2 linked regions of the Xenopus tropicalis genome follow. The protein of the gene in region 1 interacts with the protein of each later gene in a biochemical or structural test. Links are inferred from orthologs where the notes say so. Each region holds a gene or a part of one and is shown on either strand. Other genes may lie near its edges.

Evidence for each region. The genes of interacting proteins can lie anywhere in the genome.
Region 2: the proteins of rara (region 1) and nr0b2 form a complex in vitro, tested with the Homo sapiens proteins (2 studies listed by BioGRID). The link is inferred for Xenopus tropicalis from reciprocal best matches to the Homo sapiens genes RARA and NR0B2.

The regions. Positions count from the first base shown.
Region 1 is NC_030686.2:8,758,065-8,762,163, reverse strand, and holds the start of rara (retinoic acid receptor alpha), read left to right. Parts: upstream 1-1,299; 5' UTR 1,300-1,795; coding exon 1,796-1,964; intron 1,965-4,099. UniProt on the Homo sapiens protein: Receptor for retinoic acid. Retinoic acid receptors bind as heterodimers to their target response elements in response to their ligands, all-trans or 9-cis retinoic acid, and regulate gene expression in various biological processes.
Region 2 is NC_030681.2:89,460,358-89,462,513, reverse strand, and holds the end of nr0b2 (nuclear receptor subfamily 0 group B member 2), read left to right. Parts: coding exon 1-208; 3' UTR 209-1,656; downstream 1,657-2,156. UniProt on the Homo sapiens protein: Transcriptional regulator that acts as a negative regulator of receptor-dependent signaling pathways. Specifically inhibits transactivation of the nuclear receptor with which it interacts.

The DNA.
Region 1 (4,099 bases):
TATGGCCAGCTTAACCCTCATACAGGCATCTTGGTGGCTCCTACCTGCTGTAGTTGGCCACCATTGTCAGTTGCTCAGGTGATAATTACCCCAAAACCCTCGCTGCCCCCTGGGAAGGGCGTCCCACAGTGCTTACATTCCATGGCCCATAGCAGGGACCCAAGTTGTAGCAGTCAGTGATTTTTATTTTTATTTTTTTTGGGGGAAAAAAAAACTTGTCAGGCCAAAATCAGAATAAGTTATAAAGCCACTGGTGTTGGGCTGGTGTGGGGGTATATACACTCATTTGTATTTATTAGCAGGAGCCTGCCATACTAGTACTGGGGGGGGGAGGGGTCAGTTGATTCCCAAATATGCGGGGGGGGGGGGGGGGAAATGTCTGTGATGTCACTGTGAGAGAAGGAGACGGTTGGGTCGTTTGGAGGTGAGGCGAGAGGGTCACTGAGAGGTCACATGCATGATATTAGGCAAATGAGGGGGGTATTGAAGGGGGGGGTTGGGGTATTTAGATCATGGCAGGAATACACAGGAAGGTGGGAAATGGGCAGGGCAGGCTTTGTTGTGATTGAGCTGTGCCCCCAGTGGCATGCAATGGGTTAAAAGATAGGGGGTGTTGACTTGCGAGGCTCAGCTGCCTCCAGTCCATCAGGAGGGGGAGGAGGCAGGAGGAGACACGGCTGTAGAGTTTGCAGCATTGAGCGGTGTGTGTGTGTCACGGGGATCAGTCCTGAGAGGAACAGTATTCCCCCAATGCGCCTCGGCCCATTACAGGAGAGCAGGGAAGCCCCTCCGCCGCGTTACCAGGAAACCGGGCATCCCCATTCTGCATGGAGCCTCCATTCTGCCTAGTAACCCACATACCCAGGGAAGCCTGCAGGAATACCTCCGTCTGACCAGGGATCCTTCAGTCTGTGGCACCGGTCGCCCCTGGGGGTGCAAGGATAACCGTCCCCATTAGCATTGATCCTAACAAGGAGCCCGTTGTGCTAACAAGGAGATCCCACACAGGAAGTTGTGCAGATTCTGCAGCAGGAGAAGTTGACTGGGGGTCCATAGAGAGACCTTCCATTACAGGGCAACCCCCTTCCCCCTGCTGAGAAGAATTGCCCCTTATCTCACACTATCTGCCTGCAAGGACTCCAGCTGCCCCTGTAGGGATTGGGAGCTGATCCCCAACAGATTTGGCCTAATTAAGACTTATAGGTAAGGGATCGACATGCCGGGCAACCCTTTTAATCCCCTGCCACTCTCCCTGATCCCCAGCCAAACTGGGTGCCCCCCAAATTAAGTGGTTCGGAGTGGGGGTTCTGCCCCCGTTGTGCTGTGCCAGGGATTCCATGACTTCAGCCGGAAGAACAACAGATTGAGAAGCAAAAAATTGGGCTACGCTGCAGCATGATGGAAAGGGCATGTAGGGTTCTGGGACACAAGGAAAGGCTCTGCACGGACCACCCTATATGCAGCTAGTGGGGTTCACGTTTTACACCCAGGACTCCCCCCCCAGTTCCAGTTATTTGATGGAATCCGTGCGGAGAGTCTCCCATGTGATATTCCCAGCGGATCTGCCTGCAGAAGCCCATCCCTGCATTTCCCACCGACTTGGAGAATCTCCAATGGCTCTGCTGTGGGATTCCTCCTAAGTCCATAACAATTTCCTACCGGATCTTTGGGGTTTTTCCCCCCCTATTACCCTAAAAATTCCAATTCAACCCCAGACTGCTGAATTCTCTTCCACCCCCCCATTTTTTTTTTTCTTTTCTTTTTGTTATATGGTGAATTTGGAAGGGATTGTAGGATGTACGAGAATGTGGACGTTCCTGGTTTGGGCACTAGCCCGACGCACTACCATATGATGGATTTCTATAGCCAGAACCGGGCTTGCCTATTGCAGGAGAAAGGACTCGGGACCATGCATCCCTACGGGACGCCACTTCGAAGTCAACACTGGAGCAGTTCCAACCACTGTACGTAGGTGATACCCTCTCCACAATCCCCGTCCCTTGTACCGCGGCGGTGCCGCTCGCGCCTGGCTTATTGTTCTTATTTTATTATCAATTTGACAATTTTATTGCCCATTATTCTCGTAGAAGACATCTGTAATTGTGGCACGTTAATGCCTATGTCCAGATGCGCCGCGGCAACATCTGTACGGATAATGCTCTGTATAAATAATCCCAATCTATAACGTGCGCCGAACAATAGTCTCTTTGCGCCGCTCGTAGAGTTGGATTATCCGTCTGTCCTAATGGGAAGATCTTTGTTTTGCTGTTTGTCCTGCAGTGGAGACAATGGCAAACAAATTCTTTCTAGACTGTTGTGGGTGGGACTGTCTCTAGACCATGACAAGATAACCTCATTTACCGCTAGTAGAACGTTCTAGCCGGAGACCGTTTCCCTATACGGGGGCTGTTAGTAACGCAGGGAACTTACTGCTAGATAAGCGTTTAGGCCTCAATTGCGCTCGGATTGAAATGAATATTTTTTTTAATATCGCCAGTATAATAACAATAGCATCATATCTGGGCTATGCAGTATTCTCAGAGTAGCGCTTTATCCACAAACCTATGGGGGTTCTTCTGTTATGGAACTACAACTCCCAGCATGCCCTTACAAGCTTCACTTGTACAGGTCTAGTTCCTGTGTTACATTGCCTCTGGCTATTATTGGGTGAATGCAACTTAATGAGGGTAATGGAAATAAATGACAAATTATGTGTTTTGCATTTTCATGCCGAGCCGCGCTGTATCGTTTCAAAGCGGTTTATTTTCGTAAATGAATTTGGGCCCTGTCTTTGTAACGGTTCCGTGAGCGAGGAATGGGCCTCTGGGCCCACAATCCAGTTTGATAGTAATTAAGTCACCATTCCTGTCTCTCTGTAACTCTCGGGGCATAGGGGCAAAACTCAATGTAGTAATAACAATATCCTGCATAATACTATTTGATACAAACACTTAGGGTGAAGACACACTGGGCTACTTAGTAGCAGCTACTTGTCACGGCTACTAAACTCCAGAAAATCCCCTGCCATAGACAATACTGAGAATTGCCTCTGCTAAAGCACAAGTAGAGACAGTTATCAGTAAATGATCAGCATTGTCTGTTTCTGTCGCTGTGACAAGTAGCTGCTACTAAGTAGCTCTGTGTGTCTTCACCCTAAAACGTGGCTCCACTTAACTCTTCCTTTACCCCTCTGTGTAAAAAAGTATAGCCGGATATGCTGGTGGGCAGCAGTCGGATAACAATGTGGCTGCAGTGTATGGTATGGAGCATTAAAGGGCAACTGCACCCAAAAACTGTTTCGATAATGTAATCCTAAGCAACTTGCCGATATAAATTCATTATACATTCTAGTGGTTTTTTGTAATTGATAAATGAAATCAAAGCAGCATTTGGGCCTTCCTGTCCTCTGGGACTCTCACATGTAGCAGAAGTCCAGCCTCCTCCGGGGTATCCCTGCATTGTTTCAGTAGTCAGAACCAGCAGTGCAGCCAGATTGTGAAACCTTTTCATTACAGGGGTAGTTAACTCTGTTACAGAGTGGCCTATTCTTTGCAACTTTTTAGTTGGTCTTCATTTTTATTTTGTATAGTTTTTTAATTATTTGCTCCTTCTTCTGCCTCTTTCCAGCTTTCAAATGGGGGTCACTGACCCCGGCAGCCAAAAACCTATTGCTCTGTGAGGCTCCAGTTTTATTGTTATTGTTACTTTGTATTACTTACATTTCTATGTAGGCCCTCCTCTATCATATCTCTGTCTCTCTTTCAATCCACTGCCTGGTTGCTAGGTTAAATTGGACCCCAGCAACCGGATAGCTGCTGGACATACCAAACTGGAGAGTTGCCACTTAAAAACCTAAATAATAAAAAAAATAAAAGACCAACTGCAAATTAACTCAGAATAGTACTCTCTACATTGCACCAAAAGTTAATATAAAGGTGAACTGCCCCTTAATTGTATTTTTAATGCGGGCCGTGTATATGACTATTAGATTAATACAGTGGAGAATTAAAGGCACAGTGTAGCCAATACGCTCACGTCAGCACTAAAGTTTATTATGGTTACTTGTCCTTGATTTTGTGGGTTTGTGGTAGTATTTTGG
Region 2 (2,156 bases), on another chromosome or scaffold:
CACTCTGCAGCTGGAAGCCCAGCATACACTAATGGAATTTATCTCAATGATGCACAGTCAGAGCCTTGCTCGCTTCAACTGGATGCTTCAAGCACTTGACACTGTAAAAGAAGTTAACCCCTTAGTGATCACAAAACTTTTTTTCAGTCCCATCTCTGGTGAGATAAATGTGGAAGAACTTTTGCTGGAAACATTATTTGTAAAATAAAAAACCTACTATTGTGACATGTATAAATGTCTCCAGAACTGCAACAGCAAGTTATGGAAACCATAATAACTTATAGCTAATATCATTTGAAAAAGAATGCTGTGGTGAAAGCTTCCCTTAATGCCAATAAAGAGTTTACATACAGTGGATCAGCCTTTCCGGAATGATACTGTGACATTACTCAATGAGTTAATGAAATGACACTTACATAGGAAGAAATGCTTTCTGCAACGTGACCACAGTTATACTCCTTATATTTGTTTGTCACTATATTAGGGATACACCAAATCCAGGATTCGGTTTGGCATTTGGCTGAGATTCAGACTTTTTTGGCAGGATTTGGCCAAATCCATAGTCCTGACTGAGCCGAATCTGAATCCTTAAAATCATGTGAATTTTTGCCACAAACATGGAAGTTGGGAAAATTTTGTGCGTTTTTTCTATGCCTTAGTGTGCATATGCAAATTAGGATTCGGTTCAGTATTTGGCTGAATCATTCACAAATGATTCATGGTTCGGCTGAATCTCAAAATAGTGGGTTTGGTTTATCCCTACACTATATACAGACTACATAAATGAAAATTATAACTAAAGTACATGTTGCTTCTATGTATTTTCATGCATTGCACTACATTATTTGAAATCCTTGTTATAATGTTCTCTGGTTCCTTTATGACTATTCTTGTTTGTTCTACAGTATATACACAATAGCTTCTCTCGTGTGAGTGGGACCACCAATAGCTGAAATATACAGTTCTATTGAGTAAATATGTTTTGTAACACAAATGTGTGTCATGTGTGACTTTTTTACAAGAGTACAAAAAGTCACACATGACACACATTTGTGTTACAAAACATATTTACTCAATAGAACTGTATATTTCAGCTTTTGTTTTCTTTAAACGCCACCTATATACACTTTGAATTGAGCAAATTGTAAAACAGTTTGCAAATGATCAGGTGACAATTATTAAGTCGTTTTCCACATCATTTGTCACGTGGCTTATGGCACACAACAAGTTATAACTGGAAGATGTTGACATCCATATTGACAATACTGAAGTTGTCTGCAATCCCAGATATTTTAACTTGTGCCAAATACACTTTAAGGTGCTGGAGAGATATTTTAAAGCCTTGTTTATTGAGAAGCTTTCTTAGATACAAACAAAAACAAGAAAACAGTGGTATTAGTTATTATTCATAATAGGTTAAAGATACTTGCCATAAAGAAAAGAAAATACAGAAAAAATGATACTTTTGTTTTATTGTTCTTTGGGTGACTGAAAACAATTTTGATATGAGTCAAGTCTCACTAGGTTAAATGTAAGTGTAGCACTTAATCTATACACTGGTTTACTGTTGAAATTTAATATTTATTTATTTTTTTTTGGTTGCAAATAGTCACTTTTCTTCAGTGGAAAACAAAATAAATGTATTCTTTAAAGATACATTGTGTATTTGTCATTTTTCTACCTAGTCTGCTATTACATAAAGTATATTATATATATATATGCTACTTTATACCATGTATAGTTTAAGATTTTGATGATTCCTTAAATGTATATATTTTCCTCTCTAGTTGTGTGGCAGTAATTTACTAGTGTGATCTTATGCATTAAAAAGAGTAAAATTTCCAGACTGGGACAGGAGGTGTCTTAAGGGGGACCTGCCACCCTAAGAAATAATTACAAATTGTTTTCTATTGTGTTTGTCAAGCAAAATAAACTTCAATTACACTATATAAATAATTTTAAACTTATTTCCTTTTGCACTGGAATTGCAGAAAACATGCAGGCTCCATTTTGTGGACACTGTTATTAAGGCAAGCTATGCATCCTGCTAAAATCTTGTTTCTGTGCCAGTATGGGGGGACCTGATATCAGTATCCATGTACTGGTTACACAATTAGTGCAGTGACATCTAAGGCATTCTGAACTGAAAATGAAAG